Struthio camelus: one gene and its partner. Each later gene encodes a partner of the first gene's protein in a complex. Links are inferred from orthologs where the notes say so. Each region holds a gene or a part of one and is shown on either strand. Other genes may lie near its edges.

What was found.
Region 2: AAR2 (region 1) and CD2BP2 share a complex: the UniProt entries of both Homo sapiens proteins name them as parts of the U5 snRNP complex. The link is inferred for Struthio camelus from reciprocal best matches to the Homo sapiens genes AAR2 and CD2BP2.

What each region holds. Positions count from the first base shown.
Region 1 is NC_090959.1:256,445-268,827, forward strand, and holds the start of AAR2 (protein AAR2 homolog), read left to right. Parts: upstream 1-7,780; 5' UTR 7,781-8,016; coding exon 8,017-8,773; intron 8,774-10,956; coding exon 10,957-11,186; intron 11,187-12,383. Other genes in the region: EPB41L1 (band 4.1-like protein 1), read left to right, coding at 402-482, 1,539-1,655, 3,410-3,418. UniProt on the Homo sapiens protein: Component of the U5 snRNP complex that is required for spliceosome assembly and for pre-mRNA splicing.
Region 2 is NC_090973.1:153,973-165,998, forward strand, and holds the start of CD2BP2 (CD2 antigen cytoplasmic tail-binding protein 2), read right to left. Parts: upstream 5,754-12,026; 5' UTR 5,588-5,753; intron 4,731-5,587; 5' UTR 4,730-4,730; coding exon 4,661-4,729; intron 4,230-4,660; coding exon 4,106-4,229; intron 4,027-4,105; coding exon 3,869-4,026; intron 1,231-3,868; coding exon 750-1,230; intron 1-749. Other genes in the region: TBC1 domain family member 10B-like, read right to left, coding at 8,450-9,895, 10,686-10,840, 11,629-11,818. UniProt on the Homo sapiens protein: Involved in pre-mRNA splicing as component of the U5 snRNP complex that is involved in spliceosome assembly.

The DNA of each region.
Region 1 (12,383 bases):
ACAAGTAGAGACAGCACATTGACTCTTGGATTCGAAACCTTTTTATTATCCATCTTGTGACCACACGGCCACAAGCTGTTATCCCCAGTCCTAAAGCCTGTGCTACAGCCATCCTCAGCCTTATGGTTCGCTTCTCAGTGTGCATCCAATGTGCATTCCTGTGGCTAACGTCACTGTAGGCAAGGCTCTGAGAGAGGGCAGGCATCCCATGTTTACTGCAGCATATTTAGGACATGAACCATATAGGGTTTTAAAGCTCTGCATTAGTTGTTTGCCCCAGAAGCCTGCAGCCTGTAGGGCTGGTGTGATCCCCTGCCTTTGCCATGGTAAGTGGCAGGATGCTGCTGCCAGTAAGGAGGACTACAGGCTGGAAATGAGTTCTGTTCCTTTTTGTATTGCAGACTGTGAAAGGAGGGTTTTCAGAGACCAGGATAGAGAAGCGCATCATTATCACAGGAGATGAAGATGTGGACCAAGATCAGGTAGGAGCAGAATGCTGTGGCTTTGTTGAATTGTAGCTGCTCCCTGATTGCATCACTGAGTGTTCCCAGTTCTTTGCTCCTTCACTCTGAAAACCAGTCTCTCACATCCCCAAGCCTACTGGCTTTTCCAGGCTGGGAAAGAGGGTGCCAGTCCAGTTCTCAGACAGGGTTTTGCCAGACAGCAAACCCTGTCTCCATCTTGGAGGAAGTGACAGGAATCATCACTCATTTGGCCTGTGAAAGACCTGGATCATTTGATTTATACTGAACAAGAACTTCCAGCTCAACTCCCACCCACTGAAGGAATGAATGAGTCAGCAGTGAGGATTACGTTCCAGCATAGAGACCAACTATGGGATCGCCTTTTTCTTTTTTACATAAGTTTCCAGTTGCCATTTCTCTGTTGAAATGCTCTGGAGTGGCCCAGGATTCTCCCTTTCTTTCCTGCAGAGCCTCACTACAGGTTGACTCAGACCAAATAGTTGTGCATTTACCTCCTTAAGAGAAGGAACAAAAAGTGACAACTTTTTATGATGAAATAACAGATTGACACAAATCTCTGGGGTTGCAGGCTCATTTTCTTGTGACCTCATCTTTTGGGATTTTTTGCTTTACCATTTTGTTAAAGGTCCAAAGTATTTAAAAAGCTATCTTGCGCAGGATCTAAAATAATTTATAGACTTTTTAGAATTATTCAGAATAATAAATTTAATTAGAATAATATTTTAGATTTTTTATAGAGTTTTTTGGCAGAGAGAACTGATGATGTTCCTTTGCTTGGGATTCATTAGTGAGCCTGGAACACTGTGCATCTCTGCCTACAAACGAGTAATCGAAGAGCAATACACAAGGCATCCCAATGCTTTTTTACAACCCCCCAGTCAGTAGTAGGCTCCAGACTTTTCTTCCAGGCCATCAAACCTGAACCTATGCATTCACATTCTTCTGGAATCCTATTCAGCTGCAGATATTTTCTATATACTGATTCTTTCTGGCAATGTTCATATCAGATTTCAGGGAAGTGAAGATAAACACTTTCATCATTCTGCTTTCTAGGCACTGGCTTTAGCAATCAAAGAGGCAAAACTACAGCATCCCGACATGCTGGTAACCAAAGCTGTGGTATACAGAGAAACAGAACCTTCTCCAGAGGAGAGGGACAAGAAACCTCAGGTAGGTAGAGAAATTACCAGGTATGATTTATACATGCTGTACAAGAGATGTATGTAGCTGTACAAGTACCTCTGTGTATCCCTTATGCCCTATGTTGTGAAACAGCTCAGTGGAGTTCTTTGCAGAAGTTCTTGGACACCAGCACAGTCCTCAATATGACAGTTAGGTGACTGCACAGGCAGAGCATCCCTCATGTCCCAGCTACAGCAGGCTTCAGCATAGCATCCCACTACAGTAGCTTGAGGGATGTGTCTGCTGGTGGGCCCTGAAGGACAGGTACCTGGGAATGGGCAAAGCAGTTCTGTAAGCACTGTTTCTGCCTCTTCCCATGCTATACTGTATGACCCAATTTCTACTCCCTGTGTTTCTGTACTGGCTTTATTGTCCTCCCAAATAAGTTCAGATTTCCTTCCAGGGAACCCTCTGTGGAGTAAAAAGAAAGAATTTATTTTCTCAGTGCATGGGCTTTATTCGCCTCTCTGCTTTAACACGCTGAGGCACATTTCTGCAATTGGCCACAATTAATTTTTGGGACTAACTCTACCAGCTGTAGGTGCTGATAGGAAGGGCTGCTCCAGGGCACTAGGAGTAGCATCTCTTGCACCAGCAATTCCAGTCCAGCCCACTATGATGGCGACCCCCCAGGTGTGGCCACCTAGTTGTGGTTAGAAAGCTGGTGGACATGCCATCAAAAGCAGTGCTCTAGTTGTCACCTTGTTGCCCTGCTCAGTAGAGGAGTCAGAATCATTTGCATGTAAAGGAGGAAGGACCTTCTCATTCCTCCAGGGTAGGGAATGACAGAGGTGATGTCTGTGTTGTGGATAGCCTGAGAAACTTGGTTACTGGTACTGCAAGGCCAATTCCACATATTAGACAAGTATTTGCCAAAATGATTTTTCTAATGGCCATTCAGGTTCCCCAGGCTGTCCCTTTATAAACATGCAGCTGTGCGTACCAGCACACAAGGTTTGCATCTCCCAGCAGATGCCCCAAAGCAGGCACATTTTCACACCCATTTTTCTCCAGGGCAAAGCTGGCTTGAGGAGGCCTGCCCCTACTCTTAACCACTTATTCTTACTTCATGCTGCTCCGTGCTACTCCCCTCAGCTGGATTGGTGCAGCTCTCTCATAGCACTGGTTTTATGTAGGGCAATGTCACAGCCCAACAGACTTTTTTATCAGAGCAACTGAGGGGCAGAGAAGCATGACAGAAAGGAGAAGGGGAGCTTCTGAAGCCAGCTTCACTACTGAAAAATGTAGAAGGAGCTATGTCCCTAGCCAGACTCCAGATGCCTCTTGGAAATGTGATTATGTGTTTCTTGATCCTATGAAGATTTTGACATGCAACTTTTAAGCTTGGAAAAGATGATCACCTCTGTTGTAGATTGGAAGGTCAGAGGAGACTGTTGCATCTGTCTAATCTCATCTCCTTCATAACAGTTACAAACAACCAAGCCCAGTTATTTCTGCATCTTTTAGGAAGCCAACCAGTTTTGATTTAATGGCTAAACATAAGGGAGACTTCAGCAGTGATTCACTGATTCCTTTCCCATACACCAGCACCAGCTCAACGAATTCAAGAGGTTTTTATAATTACCAGAGGTCGTGGTAATCAAGGGCAAAGTTGATTAGTAGCCCGAAAGTGTTTGCAGTTTTATTGTCCAGTGCCCTCATACAAACAGGAGCCCTTTTAGAGCCCAAGAAGCAACAAAGGAAGCACTCCATGACCAGTCCTTTCCATCTGCCTTGTACAGGAATCTTGACCACCATGTTCACAGAAGTTGGCATCTGTATTCAAACCTGGAGAATAGTGAAGAAGGATCCTTCATGCTGGATTTGCCAGCAAGACATAGACATCCTGGCTGCAATGTTCATGGCAAGAGACAAAAATTTTAAAAAAGGAATAGCAAATATATTATATATATATATACACATCAACACACACACACACACACACACACACACACACACACACACACACACATATATATATATATATATATAGAAAAGGAGAAACAAAATGTATCCTTGCACTGCTGCTATATGCTGGAAATGAATTACAAACAGCAACATCAACAACAAACAAAACCGACCATCTTTGCAGATAAATTGAAGAATTTACTGGATTGGTGATAAAATAAAATTAAAAAATCATTATAATAACAATAATATTGTTAACAGTAAAATAAGCCACCATCTTGCATGTTACATAAAAGGATACACAATCTTGAGTTCATTTGTTGCACACTGAATGGAAAGGAAAACTGCTTTGCAACAAAGCAAGAAATAAGCAAAATGAAACAAAAACCACAAGCAGAAGCAAAACCATTCCCCACCTCTGGAAAGAAGAGAGAAACCATTGAGTTGATTACTTTAGAGTTATTTTCCGATTTGGAACGTGTGGTTACACTCTTTTCCTCATTCCGTGCTCGTTCTTTTGCATTTTTGAGGTTCTGTTAATTCTTCCCCTTCTGTTCCTTATCTTCTTCTCTGTGCATTTGTCCAAGCTCTTGTTCTCTGAAAGTATTTAGGAATGGATTTCATTTCAAACAAAGCAAATTATATGTATATGGTTTCTCATTTATAAAATTGCAGCCTGTAGGGGTTTCATATGGATGTGCATTTAAGTTATGTATATTATTATATATAACAAGGGGGGAGGGGGGAACAATATTAAAATAATTCAACAGTGCTGGTAAATATGATGACAACATTTTTAAATTATTAACTATTTGATTGACTGTGGTTGATGTATTTTGAGACTCTTAGATCATGCTTGGGACTCTTAGCCCCGCAAGAAGAGAATAGGGATGGTTTGAGCCTCTTCTGTTTTGGAGGGGAAGGGCAGAGGGAGAAAGATGAGACACATCCCACTGGCTGATCCGTGTGGCCGCAGGAGGGCTGTTTTTGGTGCCGTGGTATATGTGGTGTGTGGAATTGGTTGGTCAACGGCAAGTTGGAGGGGCAAGGAAGGAGGGTCAGGCTGCCGTTCCTGTGGCCCAGGTGCTAGGCAGGAATGTCACCTGGCCCCAATCCAAAGACACCGGAGTCTCAGCTGGGATCAAGCTGGCAGCATGGTCTTAGCTCCTCTCCAGCCCACTGAGCCATGATGATTGTTGGGGTTGTTTTGGTTTGTTTCTGGACCCCAGTAATGAAGTTACAGAAGCTTTGTAGTAGGAAGGGTTAGAGGCAAAGAGGAGTCATTTTTTCCCTGCTTCCCCCGCAGGCCAGGTGCAATGGTGAGGGCTGCCCAGGGCACTGTGTGCTACATGATGGTGATGGCAGGAGTGATGCCAGTCCTTCCTCCATCCTTGCCTCCAGGTGCTACTGAGGGACAGGCAGTGGAGAGACCACATTGTCTCCATCACTGCACGAGTGCCCTGAGTGTACAAGCCTGGATGGCAGAGTCCAGGCCCTCCACATAAGATGGCCCATGTTGAGGAGATGTCAGTGCAGCTGCCTTTCCCACAACTCATCACAGCTCGGCCTTTAGCAACAGGCTTCCTCTGTGGCTGCCTTTAGAAGGGGATTATGGGCCAAGGCCAGGGCCTTGTACACTGTGAACCAGGCAGTTAGGGTGGACTTGGAACCAAAATCAGGAAGGAAAAGAAATAAATGGGTTTCCTTTTTGGAATTATCCCTACCTCCTGCAGAAGCAGAAGGGCCCACAATTCTGCACCATTTTGCCTTTAGTCCTCCACGCCTCACGCAGACTGTGCCCAGAATAGGTGCATTTTATCAGTTCCAGCAATGGATCTGAGGATAATACTAAACAAGAAGAATTTAAGCCATTATGGGGGTATACTTCGCTCACTGAGTTTCCTTAGGAGAGAGCCTGGTCTCTGGCAGTCTTGGTCTGCCAGTTACTTGCTATTATGTCCCCATGAAGTCTGTTCTCCTTATGGCATATAAGATTCTTCTACAAGCATTAAAGACAGGCTTCTTCAGAAGTGAATAGACGTGCTGGCTAATGCCAATGAAGATCATTTCAGGTTTCTAATGAGTTCAGTCATGTAGTCTCCCCCCAGATTCTGCCTGAGTGCTTTCAGTTGCTTGTAACTTGCTGCTTTTAGAGACCAGACCCCAAACCAGAAAGAGTTAAGGCAATTGTAGAGAGAATTGCGTTTTTTCTCTTTTATTTTTAAATACACCCAAAACAGCTGCAAAAAGCAGTCACACTTTCTGAAAGAGATACCAATTGAGAGAGGACCTGTTCTCAGTGCCTGTACAGGGCATTCAGCCCATCTTGCCCATTAGCAATGGTCCACACATCACGTTGGTTGTTTTTCAGCACGCTTTGTATTTCAAATCCAAAGGAGGCTCTCTGTGGATTTGGTACTGTTACAACTGAACTACAGGCTACTTTGAAACTGGATACCTGGTTTTGAAATCACACATGTGGTTATAAAATCTAAGGTAACTGTTAACATTAGTAGCCTTAGACAATTATAGAATTGATGTGAAATTAGACTCAAACTATTTACATTTAGAGTTAAGAAAAAAAACCCAGTAAGTGGATCCAGTTTCCTTGCTTCCACAGCTTGTTTAATGGGTGACAACATTTAAAAATAAAAAAAAAAGAAAAAAGTTTGTTTCTTGTTCATCTGGGAAAGTGTGGGATTCTGCTGTTTAGTAGTGACTAACATCCCTTATGGGCCTGGCTCTCTCCCAGCCTGCCCTTCACATTACTGCCATTTCAGAGAGCTAATCACCATTTGTTTTCTTCCAAGGGCCTTTGTGTTGAAAGGGGTGGGAGAACTGAGTGCCTGTTTTTACCTGATCCTACAAATTCATTCCAAACCTGGCCTGCAACTGCATGAGTAATAATGACAATAACAATAATAATATTTATTTTTATTTGAAAAGCACCTTACCAACCAACTGCAATGCTCTGTTGTTCCTTCACTAACTCTCCTTTTCTCTTCCCTTGTTCTTCTTCTCCCTCCTGCCTTCAGTCATATTCCTTTTCAGTGCTTGGTGGTGTATGCGTGTGTGCTCACTGTTCTTGTATTCAATAAAAGTGAAATAAATGTGTTTGATGCTGAACCAGCTTGTGGCATGAAGTGGACTCTTTCCCGCAAAGAGAATGGACAGATTAAGGTAGGGGCCTTGGGACCAGGGTCTCTGTCTGTTAAAATATTGGACTCTTCCCTGTGTCGTCCTAGAAAATGAAGCAGATGCCAGTTATGGGTATGGCACACTGCTGGGGAGAAGGATGGAAGAAAGCTGTGTATTTTTCACACTGTATCTACTAACCATCATCTGTTTGCCTGAGGCAGCAAACTCAGGACTGCCAGTAGGTAGATTATGAAGGTGTTCAAAATACACAGAGACTAGGGCTGCATTTGTCCCTGACTTTTGTCTTTGGATCCTGGTAGGATTCTGGGCCTTGCAGACCAGGTAGGAGGGAGGTGATGGCTCCTGCTGCTGGGTGCCTGTGACACCCAAGTGAGAGATGTCCTTTTGTTACTGTGCTGCCACGTGACATTTCTGCAGGTGTGGGGTGAAAAACAATCTCTTTGTCTAACAGAAGCTCAGATTTTGCAGGGATAAAAGCTAAGATTTTTCAAAGATGCTGCCAAGCTGCATCCCCACCACCTGGGGCTTGACCTGCCCCTGCCCCTGCAGGCAGGATTAGGCTGGGGCTAGAGGAGAGGGACTGACAGCTGTGGGGGTCTGTGGAGCCGAGGGGAAGCATTGCCAGCTGTGGGGCCCGTGGGGCTGAGGGGAGGGACTGCCAGCCATGGGGTGTTGGGGGGCCAAGGGAGGGACTGCCAGCTGTGGGGTGTTATGGGACCGAGGGGAGGGACTGCCAGAAGTGGGGGTCTGTGGGGCCGAGGAGAGAGGCTGCCAGCTGTGGGGAGCCCGGTAGTAGGAACCAAGGGGAGCGACTTCCCGCGGTGGGGGGCTGTGGGGCAGCGGGCAGGGACGGGCTCCTAGGGCGTCCCTCCGCTGCCCAAACGGGGCCCCGCGCGCCGCAGCGGCTACCCCGGGGGCCTGGCTGGGCGGCGGTGGGACTCGCTCTGGCTGCCGCCGGGCGGGAAGCAGCCGCCGCGCCCGGAACGGGAGCGCCGCGGCGGCGGGGCGGCCCGGACGCTCTTCGGGGAAGGCGCGGTGGGCGGGGCGGGGCGGCGGCGGGTGCAGGCGCTCCGGGGACGGGGGAGGTGAGGCGCGGCGGCAGCGGGGCTTCGGGAGGTCGCGCGGCCGGAGCGCTGCGGGCCGGTAGCGCGCTTGGGCCTGGTTGCGGCGGTCGCGACCTGCGGGCCGGGTGAGACTAGGCCAAGCCTGCCCGAGCGGTTCCCAGGTGGCCTGGGGACCCGTGTGTCTGCGCTTGTCCCCTGCTGTGCTCCCGCCGGGCTCCATGGCGGCAGTGCAGCTGGACCCCGAGTTGGCCAAGAGGCTCTTCTTTGAAGGCGCCACGGTCGTCATCCTGAACGTGCCCGAGGGCACCGAGTTCGGCATTGACTACAACACCTGGGACGTCGGCCCCCGCTTCCGCGGAGTCAAGATGATCCCTCCAGGCATCCATTTCCTCCACTACAGCTCTGTCAGGGGAGCTAGTAGCCGGGAAACAGGGCCGCGCACAGGTTTCTTCCTAAGCCTGCAGCAGCGAGACTTGCGGGTGCTGCGCTGGAACCCCACCAACGAGGAAGTGGATCTTACGCCAGCAGTCCAGGAGGAGACTGAAGCCATGAGAGGAAATCTGCAGGAGATGGACAAGTTTCTTGGGCCCTATCCGTATGAGACCCTGAAAAAATGGATTTCCCTCACCAACTTCATCAATGAGTCGATGATGAAGAAGCTGCAACCAGAGAGTGGGCAGATCTGTGCCTTTTCAGAAGTTCTCCCTGTGCTGGCTGGGAAGCACACCAAAGACCGTGCTGAACAGAACTTGCCCCCTTATGACACAGAATGCAAGAGCTATGCTGAAGGTATGGCACGGCTGCCCAAGATGAAACTGAAAGCTGGCACTGAGATCAGATTCACAGAGCTGCCAAAGCAGATGTACCCCGATGGTGCTACTCCTGAGGAGATAACCAGGCATAGCATGGACCTTAGCTATGCTCTAGAAAAAGTGATTGATCAGCAGTACTCCAGCCAACCTCAGGATTTGCTTGGTGAGTACATAGTATCCCAGTTGTAGAGTCCTTATTCACTTTGAAAGAATTAAGTTTTTGGCTGTAAAGCAAGAGTCCTCAGGTGAAACCTGCAGTTCTGTTGACCTTAAAGGCTCAGGGCATAAGTGTGCTCTTATAATTGTGACTATACAAAACAGTTTATACAAGCTACAAAGTCTGAGTAGCTATAGGGTCTATTCCAGTTGCCCTGATGCAAGAATCTGGACACTCTTTTGCTCAATATCTAGAGTGACTAGCCTGCCTCACTAGCCACTTTTGTTCCTGGCTGCTGCAGTAACATGTTTGGAACCCAAATTGCCTCAGATTAATTCAAAAGCATAAATCCCAGTTTATGAACTGAGATGTGTTTGTGAATTCACCCTTGTGCATGGAAGGCACATCACGTTGCGTCTAATGCAAGTACATTTTTTTCTGTGGTGCCATCCTGATGATTTATCTATCAAGTGATCCTCTAAGGACAGAGTTTAGGGAGTCCTGAGACCACTGAATGGGATGGGACATCTTAATCTTTAGATTCTTGTTCCCTTTTTGCCAGCAACTCAACTTTTGGCTTTTGGGGTGAGTTGTTTTGCCTTTTAGGCCTCCAATTCACTTTGTATAGTTTAGGGATAATGATGCTTCTGTGCCTTGTGGATTTTTATTTTTTAGGCTTGATGTTTTCAAAGAAGGTCTCAAAGGTTTGCAAAGTAATTTACAGCAGGTGAAGAATGAGCTGTGCACTAGAGAGGCAGCTCTCCTTCTTAAATGTCTCTGGCTGTCCGTTTTACCCTCTTTCTGGCTGTCCGTTTTACCCTCTTTGTTCTATTCAGTACAGTCTATTTCCTTCAAACCCTTCTGCTCGCCCACCTTATAATTTGGTCCTACTCTGCTCATCCTCACTGATGGCTTTTCAGTAAACTGAGTAACCAAAAATGATTCTTTTACTAAATGCTACTTTGACTGTTGGTGAATACAACTGTCATGGAAGAGTTGATCTTTGTGGGGAGGGAGCAGCCTGTGCAGATAGCAGTGAAAGTACTAACTATAGCTAGAACAGAATGGATAATTCTAAATATAAGCTGTCAATGAAGTGTACAGATGCCAGTCAGTTAAGTGAGTTTTAGTACTCTGATAGTACATTTCCCAGCAGTCAGTTCCTAACACAGTAACTAATCAGCAGGATGGGCCTTTCCTTCTACTCTGGTTAGAGGCGGAGGAAGGTGGGAAGTCTCTGCTGTGGGCTGCTGGCGACCCTCTGTGGTAGCATTTGGGATTTGTGAGCTCTACTGCAGGAGGGCGAAACATGCAGTGTTCATGGGCACACTGTGAACTGCATCTCTCAGTTACAGGGTCTTAATTACTTGCCAGCCTCATTTAACAGCTTGTGATACAAATTAGTAACAGCTCTGTGAAGATCCTTGAATGCATTTTCCGTGTGGCAGGATGGAGTGAGGACTTGGGAAACTAGCTGATCTAGAGCCTCAAGGTTACTGAGGTTTGGAATAAGCCTTTATTTTCCCCTTTTTTCTTTATTAACTTTATACAATTTATTCTTTATCAAAAGTATTCTAGGAGATGCAAAGACTAATTACCGTAAGGGTGTGTAAGGTTCCCTAGTGCCTTGGGGAATGGTGAGGCCATCATTCTGGCAAAACAGCTGATGCTGAGCATCAAGTGAGATTGAACCCTGACTCTTAATTCAGTGAAGGAAAAACAACCATTATGTACTGCTCACCTCGTTCTTTGTTCCCACACCCCTCTGTTCAAGGGCAATCTGATTTTGGAAACTCAGGCATAAAAGGAGCTTTCAGAATAACAGCTTTATTTTCTCATTTGGACATCATAGAAGATTTTGAGAATGCAGGCAAGTCCTGAGGTAGCTATATGCTCTGATTGCCAGTAAAGTCACTCTCCAAAGTTGACCATTATAGTTTTAAGGGGTCCTGCCTGATCGTGCTATGCTTGTTCTCCAGCTGAATAGCAGAGCATTAGGAAATAGTCAGTGCTTGGAGTATTGATTGCTATTATCAGAGTCACTGGGAGGATAGGGTACTGTTCATGTGTAAAAGGCAATCCCAGAGTTTATACAGTCATTTTCAGAGCTTTCAAGAGGACATGTACCTTGGATGTGTTTCTAGTCTCATGTGTACTTTGTTTTCCTTTCCTTTGCTAAATGTGTGCAGCTGAGTTGCAATTTGCTTTCATCTGCTTCCTGATTGGGAATGTGTATGATGCATTCGAGCACTGGAAAAGACTCTTAAATATCCTGTGTCGATCTGAAGATGCCATAGGGAAGTATCAAGACCTTTACACCAATCTCATTTCTGTGCTGTATCACCAGCTCAATGAAATCCCAGCTGATTTCTTTGTGGACATTGTCTCCCAGGACAACTTTTTAACCAGCACCTTACAGGTATGTTTGTGGCTGTCACTGTGGGTGACTTAAAAAAAAAAAAAAAAAAAAAAAAAAAAAAAAAAAAGTGGGGGGGGGAGTAGGAGGAGAGGGCATACAGGACATCAGAGCAAATTTTCAAAAGGAAGTAAGCTGCTATTGATCTGCATAGGAGACAGTGAGTCTATGTGTTCTAAGAATGCTCATATTTTCTTTTATTTTTTTCCCCCACGTTCTTTACACAGAAATACTGCTTGCTTGTCCTGAGTTTTATCTGCTAAAGTTATGCCCAGAAGAGTCTAATGCAGCATAAATTTAAGTTAGTCTCTATAGAAAGGCCAGCAAAGTGAGACAATGAGAGGAAAGACTAATGAAAATATAAATAGCTGCAATATGGAATGGAGGCTCTGTCTTTTTTTTTTTAGTATGATTTCCTGGCAAATAATGCTGAAAGTAGACTATCACATTGACATGGCATGGATCTGTTCTAGAGTTCTGGAATAGTGTATGTAACGCAATTGAATTGCACCAGCATACCTTTTCTAAAAATGTCTAAGGTCTTAGGCTACATAAACAGCTATGGGAGAGGCTGAGCAAGTGCAAGGCAAGGTCTTTTTATGTGTTTTTTCCAAATGCCATTCATTCTATATGTATGTATATGTGTGTATATATATTTGTGTGTGCCATAAAAGACTGGCAATATTGACTTTGGTCAGCTTGAATGGTATGATATTTTGTATGCAGAGAAGTTTCAGTGAAACCTTTTTGAGCTTAGGGTGTTGATAGTATGTTAAAAGCTTTTCCATTCCTGTTAGCCTTATGTAAAGCTAAAGATTTCCCAGAATCACGTTCTTATCTAGAGGGAATTTACAGGTAGTCCAGAATGTAGAAAATACACTGCTTATGCTGAGATAGGTGTGGCAAATATTTATAATTCAGTACTAGTAAGACCAGTTACTCCCACTCACTGAAATTATGCTAACAGCTCAGCAAATAGACAAGTCTTATAGCTAAGCCAAATTCAGTTAAAAATAAAAACAGATATACCCATATAACTCAGCAATGGAAACTTAATCCCAGCATGAAATGTAGTAAGTTATGTTGCAGTGTTTGGTGTAAATTGTATATTGCAATCTCCTTTCTCAAAAACAGTGATTACCTGTAATTCCAAGTTGCTGCTGTAGATCTTTGTTTGTTTGTTTGTTTTTTAAACTCACT
Region 2 (12,026 bases), on another chromosome or scaffold:
CAGAGCAGGGTCAGGGCTGCAGACCCCCCCCCCCCGCGCCGTGGGGCAGAGCAGGGTGAGGGCTGCAGACCCCCCCCCCGCGCCGTGGGGCAGAGCGGGGTCAGGGCTGCAGACCCCCCCCCCCAGCCGTGGGGCAGAGCGGGGTCAGGGCCGCAGAAAGGGGGCTACGAACCCCCTGACCCCCATGGTGGGGGTTTCCCAGCCCCATGGCTCCCCCAGACCCCCATGTGGGGGCTCCCTCAGCCCCCCACCCCCCCAGACACCTAGACCCCCATAGCAGCGGTTCCCCCAGCCCCATAGACCCCCCCCAGCACCCCATGGGGGGGTTCCCCAGCCCCACGGACTCCCCCCGAACCCTAGACCCCCAGCCCCCCCCCAGCCCCCCACGTGGGGGCTCCCCCAGCTCCATGGGCCCCCCCCAGACCCCCATGCTGGGGCCCCCCCAGCCCCCCATAGGGGGGTTCCCCAGCCCCACAGACCCCCCCAGCCCCACAAACCCCCCCAGACCCCCATGCTGGGGCTCCCCCAGCTCCACGGACCCCCCAGCCCCCCATAGGGGGCTCCCACAGCCCCCCCAGCCCCACGGACCCCCCCCAGACCCCCATGCTGGGGCTCCCCCAGCCCCCCATAGGGGGTTCCCCAGCCCCACGGACCCCCCCAGACCCCCATGCTGGGGCTCCCCCAGCCCCCCATAGGGGGCTCCCCCAGCCCCCCCAGCCCCACGGACCCCCCCAGACCCCCCCACTCACCCTCGGCCGGAGCCTCCAGCCGCTCGGGGTCGACGTTGGGGGCGAAGATGTCGAGGGGGGCGGCGGCGGCGGGGGGGGCGTCGCCGGGGGCGGCGGGGGGGGCGTCGCCGGGGGCCGGGGGGGTCCCCGGGGCCCCCCCCAGGGCGCGCAGCCGCCGGGCCAGCCGCTCCCGCGTCTCCTGGTAGACGCCCAGGAGCCCGCGGGCCACCAGCCCGTCGGCCACCTCCACCAGCCGCTCCAGCCGCCCGCCGTCCCCGTCCCCGTCGTCCCCGGGGGGCTCCGCCGCCGGCCCCCCCCGGCCCGGCCGCCGCCGCCGCCGCCGGCCCCCCAGGCGCCGCAGGGCCCCGGCCACCGTCTCGCCCGGGCGCAGCAGCTCCAGCGCGCCCTGCAGCAGCTCCGGCTGCGGCGGCGGCGGCGGCGGCTCCTCGTCCTCGTCGTCACCCGCCGGCCGGGGACGCGCCGGGCGCTCGGCGATCTTCACCTGCCGGCGGCGGCGGGTGAGGGTGGCCGCGCGCCTCAGCCGGGCGGTCGCGAACGGTTGAGGTGCTCCAGCCCGTCCCCCGGTGTCCCCATGTCCTCCACTATGTCCCCCACATCCCATTGAGGTGCTCCAGCCTGTCCCCATGTCCTCCACCATGTCCCCCACGTCCCGTTGAGGTGCTCCAGCCCGTCCCTGGTGTCCCCCACCACGTCCCCCATGTCCCGTTGAGGTGCTCCAGCCCGTCCCCCGGTGTCCCCCACATCCCATTGAGGTGCTCCAGCCTGTCCCCATGTCCTCCACCATGTCCCCCACGTCCCGTTGAGGTGCTCCAGCCCGTCCCTGGTGTCCCCCACCACGTCCCCCATGTCCCGTTGAGGTGCTCCAGCCCGTCCCCCGGTGTCCCCCACATCCCATTGAGGTGCTCCAGCCTGTCCCCATGTCCTCCACTATGTCCCCCATGTCCCGTTGAGGTGCTCCAGCCCATCCCCCGGTGTCCCCCACCATGTCCCCCACGTCCCATTGAGGTGCTCCAGCCCGTCCCCAGTGTCCTCCACCATGTCCCCCACATCCCGTTGAGGTGCTCCAGCCCGTCCCCGGTGTCCCCCACATCCCGTTGAGGTGCTCCAGCCCGTCCCCGGTGTCCCCCACCATGTCCCCCACGTCCCGTTGAGGTGCTCCAGCCCGTCCCCGATGTCCTCCACCACGTCCCCCACGTCCCGTTGAGGTGCTCCAGCCCGTCCCCGGTGTCCCCCACATCCCGTTGAGGTGCTCCAGCCTGTCCCCTGTCCCCATGTCCTCCACTATGTCCCCCACATCCCATTGAGGTGCTCCAGCCTGTCCCCATGTCCTCCACCACGTCCCCCACGTCCCGTTGAGGTGCTCCAGCCCGTCCCCGGTGTCCCCCACATCCCGTTGAGGTGCTCCAGCCTGTCCCCTGTCCCCATGTCCTCCACTATGTCCCCCACGTCCCGTTGAGGTGCTCCAGCCTGTCCCCGGTGTCCCCCACATCCCGTTGAGGTGCTCCAGCCCGTCCCCGGTGTCCCCCACCATGTCCCCCACGTCCCATTGAGGTGCTCCAGCCCGTCCCCTGTGTCCCCTACGTCCCGTTGAGGTGCTCCAGCCTGTCCTCATGTCCTCCACTATGTCCCCCACGTCCCGTTGAGGTGCTCCAGCCCGTCCCCGGTGTCCCCCACCACGTCCCCCACGTCCCATTGAGGTGCTCCAGCCCGTCCCCGGTGTCCTCCACCATGTCCCCCACGTCCCATTGAGGTGCTCCAGCCTGTCCTTGGTGTCCCCCAAATCCCGTTGAGGTGCTCCAGCCTGTCCCCATGTCCTCCACTATGTCCCTCATGTCCCGTTGAGGTGCTCCAGCCCGTCCCCGGTGTCCCCTACGTCCCCTTGAGGTGCTCCAGCCCGTCCCCATGTCCTCCACTATGTCCCCCATGTCCCGTTGAGGTGCTCCAGCCCATCCCCCGGTGTCCCCCACCATGTCCCCCACATCCCGTTGAGGTGCTCCAGCCCGTCCCCGGTGTCCTCCACCATGTCCCCCACGTCCCGTTGAGGTGCTCCAGCCCGTCCCCGGTGTCCTCCACCACGTCCCCCACGTCCCGTTGAGGTGCTCCAGCCCGTCCCCGGTGTCCCCCACATCCCATTGAGGTGCTCCAGCCTGTCCCCATGTCCTCCACCATGTCCCCCACGTCCCGTTGAGGTGCTCCAGCCCGTCCCCCGGTGTCCCCCACCATGTCCCCCACGTCCCATTGAGGTGCTCCAGCCCGTCCCCAGTGTCCTCCACCATGTCCCCCACATCCCGTTGAGGTGCTCCAGCCCGTCCCCCGGTGTCCCCCACCATGTCCCCCACGTCCCATTGAGGTGTTCCAGCCCGTCCCCGGTGTCCTCCACCATGTCCCCCACGTCCCATTGAGGTGCTCCAGCCTGTCGTTGGTGTCCCCCACGTCCCGTTGAGGTGCTCCAGCCTGTCCCCATGTCCTCCACCATGTCCCCCACGTCCCGTTGAGGTGCTCCAGCCCGTCCCCGGTGTCCCCCACCATGTCCCCCATGTCCCATTGAGGTGCTCCAGCCTGTCCTTGGTGTCCCCCACGTCCCGTTGGGGTGCTCCAGCCTGTCCCCATGTCCTCCACCACGTCCCCCACGTCCCGTTGAGGTGCTCCAGCCTGTCCCCATGTCCTCCACCACGTCCCCCATGTCCCATTGAGGTGCTCCAGCCTGTCCTTGGTGTCCCCCACGTCCCGTTGAGGTGCTCCAGCCCGTCCCCGGTGTCCCCCACCATGTCCCCCACGTCCCATTAATGTGCTCCAGCCCGTCCCCTGTGTCCCCTACGTCCCATTGAGGTGCTCCAGCCTGTCCCCATGTCCTCCACTATGTCCCCCACGTCCCATTGAGATGCTCCAAGCTATCCCTGGCATCCTCCACCATGTCCCCCACGTCCCATTGAGGTGCTCCAGCCTGTCCTTGGTGTTCCCCCATGTCCCTGCATCCCACTGTGTCCCCATGTCCCATTGAGGTTCTCCAGCCTGTCCCTGGTGTCCCCCATGTCCCTGCACCCTGCTGTGTCCCCATGTCCCATCGAGGTTCTCCAGCCCGTCCCTGGTGTCCCCCAGGTCCCCGTGTCCCCCCTCACCCAGTCGATGTTGTCCAGCCAGCTGTCCCGGAGCAGCTTCTCGCGCCGCGGGAAGTAGTTGCCCTCGGAGTCGAAGTGCCCCTCGGCCATCTCCTCCTGCAGGTTGAAGGGGGTGACGGGCACCCCGCCCTCGGCCTCCAGCGTCGCCGCCTCCTGCCCTGAGACGGGGGTCAGCGCCCCACGGCGACCCCCGGCCACCCCCCGCCGCCCCACGGCGACCCCCGGCGCCCCGCTCACCCTCCACGTCGTGGGGCGCCAGCACGTCGTACTTGCTGCTGCCTTCGGCCTCGTCCTCCTCGTCGCTGTCCAGCGAGTGCTTCCCCGGGAACCGGCTCCCGGGGCCCCCCACGGCCCCCGCCTCCTGCGTGGGTCAGCCCCACCGTGACCCCCGGCCCCCCACGGCCCCCGCCTCCTGCGTGGGTCAGCCCCACCGTGACCCCCGGCCCCCCACAGCCCCCGCCTCCTGCGTGGGTCAGCCCCACCGTGACCCCCGCCATGACCCACGGCCCCCGCCCCCCGTGTGGGTCAGCCCCACCGTGACCCACGGCGACCCACGCCCCCCCCACGGCAGCCCCCCAGCCCCTGGGGCCCCCACAACCCCCAGCTCCAGCCCCCCGGCACCCTCCAGCTGCCCCACAGCTCACCCAGGGGTCCTGGGGCCTGCACAGTCCCCAGGTTCGGCTGCCCCCCAGCGCCCCACAGCTGCCCCTCGGTGCCCCCCAGCCGCCCCCACTAGCCCCCTGGTGCCCCCCAGCAGCCCCTGGCCCCCCCCGGTGCCCCCCAGCCCCTCACCCTCTTGCGGGGGGGCCCCGGCTCCTCCTCGTCCTCGGGGTCCTCGAACGTCACCTTGCGCTTGGCCATGCTGGGGGGGGGGGGGCACGCAGCTCCGTTAACGGCCCCTCGTTAGCGACGCCCCCGTGGCCCCTCGTTAGCCCCACGAACAGCCTCCGCCACCAGCCCCCAGTGACCCCCCTACCAGCCCCCAGTCACCCCCAGTAACCCCCCACTACCAGCCCCCAGTGACCCCCAGTAACCCCCCACTACCAGCCCCCAGTCACCCCCAGTGACCCCCCCTACCAGCCCCCAGTGACCCCCAGTAACCACCCCACTACCAGCCCCCAGTGACCCCCATTACCAGCCCCCAGTAACCCCCACTAACAGCTCCCAGTGACTCCCAGTGACCCCCCAGTAGCAGCCCCCGTTAACTGCCCCCTGGCCCTCATTAGCTCCCCATTCCCCCCCAGTAGCCCCCGTTTGCCCCATTAAGGCCCGTTAATCCCCAGCAGCTCATTAACTGCCCCCAATAACCCCCGTTAACAGCCCCCTTGACCCCCCCCCCATTAAGGCCCCCACCAGCCCGCTCTTAACCCCATCGTCCCCCCCCATTAACCCCCCGTTAACACACCTCCTATTTGCATATGCAAATGAGCCGCGCTCGCCACGCCCATACTAAAGCCCCTCCCCCCCGCCCCCAGGCCACGGCGACTGGCGGCGCTCGCCACCCGCCGCCGCCCACGGGGACCCCTCGAAGCTCCCCGACTCGGCCGTGGGGTCCCGGCTCCCCCCGGGCTCTGGGCCGCCCCCTAAACTGCCCCAAACCCCCCCAAAACCGCCCCCCAGGGGGCGGCTCCCAGGGGCGCCGCGGGGTGCCTCATTTGAATATGTAAATGAACCCCCCCCACCCCCCCACCCCCGGTAAGGCGCGCGCGGGCCGCTCACCCCGCGGCCCCGCCGGTGGCTGCGCTACCGCGACGGAAGCACTTCCGGGGCAGGGCGGGCGGCAGGGCGGAAGTGGCGTCACGGCCCGGGCAGGACTGCGGCTTCAGCGCCGGCGGGCAGTGTGGGCAGCTCTTAAAGGGGCCGCGACCCCATTTCCTCCCCCACCCACCCTGGCCCTGCCCCCCCAGCCCCACGTGACCCCCATTTCCCCCGGGATCCCCCAAAACTCCCTTCCCCCCCCAAACCCCCCTCAACACCCCGAGCCACCCCCAGCCCTCCATTTCCTCCTGAAACCACCCCAAACCGCCTGGGAGACCCCCAAACCCACCCTTCCCCCCCCCCAAATCCCCCGTTTCCCTCAGCCCCCCCCGCTCCTGCCCCCCCGAACCGCCTGGGACCCCCCAAAACACCCCTTTCCCCCCCAAATCTCCCGTTTCCCTCAGCCCCCCCCACTCCTGCCCCCCCGAACCGCCTGGGACCCCCCAAAACGCCCCTTCCCCCCCCAAATCCCTCGTTTCCCTCAGCCCCCCCCGCTCCTGCCCCCCCGAACCGCCTGGGACCCCCCAAAACGCCCCTTCCCCCCCCAAATCCCTCGTTTCCCTCAGCCCCCCCCGCTCCTGCCCCCCCGAACCGCCTGGGACCCCCCAAAACGCCCCTTCCCCCCCCAAATCCCCCGTTTCCCTCAGCCCCCCCCGCTCCTGCCCCCCCGAACCGCCTGGGACCCCCCAAAACGCCCCTTCCCCCCCCAAATCCCCCGTTTCCCTCAGCCCCCCCCGCTCCTGCCCCCCCGAACCGCCTGGGACCCCCCAAAACGCCCCTTTCCCCCCCAAATCCCCCGTTTCCCTCAGCCCCCCCCGCTCCTGCCCCCCCGAACCGCCTGGGACCCCCCAAAACGCCCCTTTCCCCCCCAAATCTCCCGTTTCCCTCAGCCCTCCCCGCTCCTGCCCCCCCGAACCGCCTGGGACCCCCCAAAACACCCCTTTCCCCCCCAAATCTCCCGTTTCCCTCAGCCCCCCCCACTCCTGCCCCCCCGAACCGCCTGGGACCCCCCAAAACGCCCCTTCCCCCCCCAAATCCCCCGTTTCCCTCAGCCCCCCCCGCTCCTGCCCCCCCGAACCGCCTGGGACCCCCCAAAACGCCCCTTTCCCCCCCAAATCCCCCGTTTCCCTCAGCCCCCCCCGCTCCTGCCCCCCCGAACCGCCTGGGACCCCCCAAAACGCCCCTTTCCCCCCAAATCTCCCGTTTCCCTCAGCCCTCCCCGCTCCTGCCCCCCCGAACCGCCTGGGACCCCCCAAAACACCCCTTTCCCCCCCAAATCTCCCGTTTCCCTCAGCCCCCCCCACTCCTGCCCCCCCGAACCGCCTGGGACCCCCCAAAACGCCCCTTCCCCCCCCAAATCCCCCGTTTCCCTCAGCCCCCCCCGCTCCTGCCCCCCCAAACCGCCCCCGCAGCCCCCAAGGACGACTCGGGGCCGGGCCGCTCGTTTGGGGGCTCCTCGTTAACCCCGTCTCGCTGTTTTTTCCTTCAAACGAAGCCACAAAGCCGCAGCCCCCCCGGAACGGGGGGCGCTAACGACCCGCCGCTAACGAGGGGCGTCCGGGGGGGGGGGGGTCCAGTGTCGTCCCGTTAAATAAGCGCTGGGGGGGGGGAGGAGGGGGCCCAGGCGTCCGGGCAGCCCCGGGGGGGGAGGGGGGCACCGGGCCCGGAGTGTCAATCATAGGAGCTGTCAATCAATCACAGGAGCTGTCTATCACAGGAGCCATCAATCAATCACAGGAGCGGTCAATCCCAGGAGCCATCGATCAATCCCAGGAGCCATCGATCAATCCCAGGAGCTGTCAATCAATCGCAGGAGCTGTCAATCAATCGCAGGAGCGGTCAATCCCAGGAGCCATCGATCAATCCCAGGAGCCATCGATCAATCCCAGGAGCTGTCAATCAATCGCAGGAGCCGTCAACCGGAGGCAGGCCGGCGAGTTGATGGATGGGGAGCTGTCAATCAAGGGGAGCTGTCAATCAAAGGTGGGGTGGCCTGTCAATCAAAGGGAGCCATCAATCCAATGAGGGTGTCAATCAAAGGCTGGGCAGGGCGTCACTCCGAAGCCGGCGGTCACATGCATGAACGGCAGCTGCCAATCAAAGGCAGCTGTCAATCAATGCAATCCACTAATCAAAGGTGGCAGCCAACCACACGCAACTGTCAATCAAAGGCAGCTGTCAATCAAAGGTAACTGCCACCCACAGCGGCTGTCAATCAATGGCAGCTGTCAATCAAATGGAGCCAGCAGTGAAAAGCAGCTGTCAATCAGCGGGAATCATTAATCAAAGGCAGCTGCCAATGAAGGGAGCCGCCAATCAAAGGCAGTTGTCAGTCAACCAGAGCTGCCGATCAAAGCAAGCTGTCAATCAAAGGCAGCTGCCGATCAAACCGAGCCGTCCATCCCGGGGGCGTCTGGAGGGAGGGATGGACGGAGGGATGGACGGACGGAGGGACGGAGGGATGGACAGATGGAGGGACGGCTGGAGCGATGGAGGGAGGGATGGACGGACGGAGGGAGGAATGGATGGAGGGATGGAGGGAGGGACGGAGGGATGGAGGGATGGAGGGGCAGAGTGATGGATGGACGGAGGGATGGACGGAGGGATGGACGGACGGATGGATGGAGGGATGGAGGGAGGGACGGAGGGAGGAATGGATGGAGGGATGGAGGGAGGGATGGACGGAGGGACGGACGGAGGAATGGATGGAGGGATGGAGGGAGGGACGGAGGGATGGACGGACGGATGGATGGAGGGACGGACGAAGGGATGGAGGGAGGGATGGACGGATGGAGGGACGGACGGAGGCAACTCCCACCTGGCTCAGAAGTAGGCGTCCTGCCGCCCGGGGGGGTCCCGGTCCCCGGCCGCCCCTGGTGCCGCCGCTGCCGCCGCCGCCGCCTTCCGCGCCGGCCGCTTCGATGGCGCCTTCTCGGGGGCCGCTGCCGCCCCCTTGCCCTGCAGCCGCTGCCGGCACTTCTCCAGCAGCCCCCTGGCCGCCGGCCGCTGCCGGGACCCCTGCGCCGCCCGCTGCCGCTCCTGGGGCCCCTCCGGCCCGTGCAACCGCTCCTTGCACGTCTCCGCCTCGTGCAACCGCTCCTGGCGCTCTTCTGTCTTGTGCAAGCGCTCGTTGCGCTCCCCTGCTTTGGGCAGCTGCTCCTGGGGCTCCTGCGCTGCCTGCAATTGTTCATCGCACTCTTCTCCTTCGCGCAACCGCTCCTGGCACGTCTGCTTGTCGTGCAACTGCTCCTTGCACGTCTCCGCCTCGTGCAGCCGCTCCTGGCGCTCTTCTGTCTTGTGCAATTGCTCCTGGCGCTCCTCCACTTTGTGCAATTGTTCATTGCACTCTTCTCCTTCGTGCAACCGCTCCTGGCACATCTCCACCTCGTGCAACTGCTCCTTGCACGTCTCCACCTTGTGCAACTGCTCCTTGCACGTCTCCACCTCGTGCAACCGCTCCTTGCACGTCTCCGCCTCGTGCAACCGCTCCTTGCACGTCTCCACCTTGTACAACTGCTCCTTGCACGTCTCCGCCTCGTGCAACTGCTCCTTGCACGTCTCCACCTCGTGCAGCCACTCCTTGCACGTCTGCCCTTCGTGCAACTGCTCCTTGCACGTCTCCGCCTCGTGCAACTGCTCCTTGCACGTCTCCGCCTCATGCAACCACTCCTTGCACGTCTCCACCTTGTACAACTGCTCCTTGCACGTCTGCCCTTCGTGCAACCACTCCTTGCACGTCTCCACCTTGTACAACTGCTCCTTGCACGTCTGCCCTTCGTGCAACCGCTCCTTGCACGCCTCCGCCTCGTGCAGCCGCTCCTTGCACGTCTCCACCTCGTGCAACTGCTCCTTGCACGTCTCCACCTCGTGCAACTGCTCCTTGCACGTCTCCGCCTCGTGCAACCGCTCCTTGCACGCCTCCGCCTCGTGCAACTGCTCCTTGCACGTCTGCCCTTCGTGCAACCGCTCCTTGCACGTCTCCACCTCGTGCAACCGCTCCTTGCACGTCTGCCCTTCGTGCAACCCCTCCTTGCGCGCCTCCAGCCGGTGCCTCTGCTCCGGGCGCCCCTCCGTGCCGGGCGCCGGCTCCCGGCGGGGGGGGGCGGCGGGGGGGCCCCCCCGGCGCTGCCGCTCCTCCAGGATGGCGCGGGCCCCGTGCAGGCGCCGGGGCGGCGGGCGCTGCAGCTCGCCCCGCGTCTCCCGCCAGCGCCGCAGCTGCGCCCCGCTCTCCCGCTCGATCAGCGCCTCCGTCACCGGCAGCGACGTCGCCTGCGGCCCGCCGGCACCTCGGCGTCCCCGCGCCGCCCCGCGCCGCCCCACCGCCCCACGCCTGCCGCCCCACGGCTCCCCACGGCTCCCCACGGCTCCCCACGGCTCCCCGCGCCGCCCCGCGCTGCCCCACGGCTCCCCACGGCCCCACGCCTGCCGCCCCATGGCTCCCCACGGCTCCCCGCGCCGCCCCACGGCTCCCCGCGCCGCCCCACGCCGCCCCACGGCTCCCCACGGCTCCCTGCGCCGCCCCGCGCCGCCCCACGCCGCCCCACGGCTCCCCACGGCTCCCCACCGCCCCGCGCCGCCCCACAGCTGCTGCCCCACACTGCCCCACGCCGCCCCACGGCCCCACGCCTGCCGCCCCGCGCCACCCCACGGCTCCCCGCGCTGCCCCACAGCTCCACGCCGCCCCACGCCTGCCGCCCCACACCGCCCCATGGCCCCACGCCGCCCCACAGCACCACGGCTGCGGCCCCACACCCCCACGCCACCCCACGGTTCCCCACGCCTGCGGCCCCACGGCTCCCCACGGCCCCATGCCGCCCCACACCGCCCCACGGCTGTGGCCCCACGCCGCCCCACGGCTCCACGCTGCCCCACGGCCCCACGCCTGCGGCCCCACACCCCCCCACGGCCCCCCACGCCGCCCCACGGCTCCACGCTGCCCCACGGCCCCACGCCGCCCCACGCCTGCTGCCCCACGGCTCCCCACGCCTGCTGCCCCACGGCTCCCCACGCCTGTGGCCCCCCGCGCCCCCGCGCCCCCCCGCGCCCCCCCCGCGCCCACCTCGTGCACCAGGGCGTCCTCGGGCAGGCCGGCGGCCAGCAGCCCCCGCAGCCGCTCCATGGTCTCGTACATCCCCTGGCAGCCGCGGAGCTGCTGGGGGGAGCCCAGCGCCCGGCGCAGCAGCACCAGCCCCACGCGGAACATGACCTTCACGCCTGCGCACGCCACGGACACGCACACGCGTCACCGCGCACGCCTGCATGCACACGCCTGCGCACGCCTGCACACGTCACCACGCACGCCTGCACACGCGTCACCACGCACGCCTGCGCACGCCTGCACACGCGTCACCGCGCACGCCTGCATGCACACACCTGCACACGCCTGCACATGCCTGTGCACCCGTCACCACGCACGCCTGCATGCACACGCCTGCACACGCCTGCACACACCTGCACACGCCTGCACACACATCACCGCGCACGCCTGCACACGCCTGCACACGCGTCACCACGCATGCCTGCACACACCTGCACATGCCACGGACACGCGTCACTGCGCACGCCTGCATGCACATGCCTGCACACGCCTGCACACGCCTGTGCACCCGTCACCGCGCACACCTGCATGCACACGCCTGCACACGCCTGCACATGCATCACCACGCATGCGGCACCGCACACGCCTGCACACGCCTGCACACACTTGCACACGCATCACCCCCCGCACATGGCACCCACCCGGGATGCACACGCCACGGACATGCCTGCACATGCGTCACCGCCCTGCACGTATGATCTTCAGCTGTGCACACGCCACGCACAGCCGTCACGGCCCCACGCACACGGCACGCACACATCATGCACACGCCTCACTGCCCCGCGCACGGCACACGGACGGAGTGCACGCGCGTCACCCGTGCACCACGCGCCCGCGCCGGGGCCGGGCAGCACCGTGCACGGGCGCCCGCCCCCGCGTGTCCCCCCCGCGCGCGCCCCCGCACCCTCGCAGAAGAACATGTCCCAGACGCGCAGGACGGCGGCCCAGGGCAGGCTGCGGGCGAAGATGCACATGAACCACTCGGTCAGGTAGAGGACGGGCTCCACGCGCCAGCGCCGCAGGTGCCGGTGGGCCGCGGGGGCCGCCCGCCGCAGCAGCGCCCCGAACACCTCCCCGTCCAGCTGCACCGCCTCCTGCACCGGGGGGGGGACGGGGGGGGGGTCAGTGCGCCCCATGGCGCCCCACGGCCGTGCACGACGCCCCACGGCGCCCCACGGCCATGCACGACGCCCCACGGCAGCGCCCGCCGCAGCAGCGCCCCGAACACCTCCCCGTCCAGCTGCACCGCCTCCTGCACCCGGGGGGGGGACGGGGGGGGGTCAGTGCGCCCCACGGCGCCCC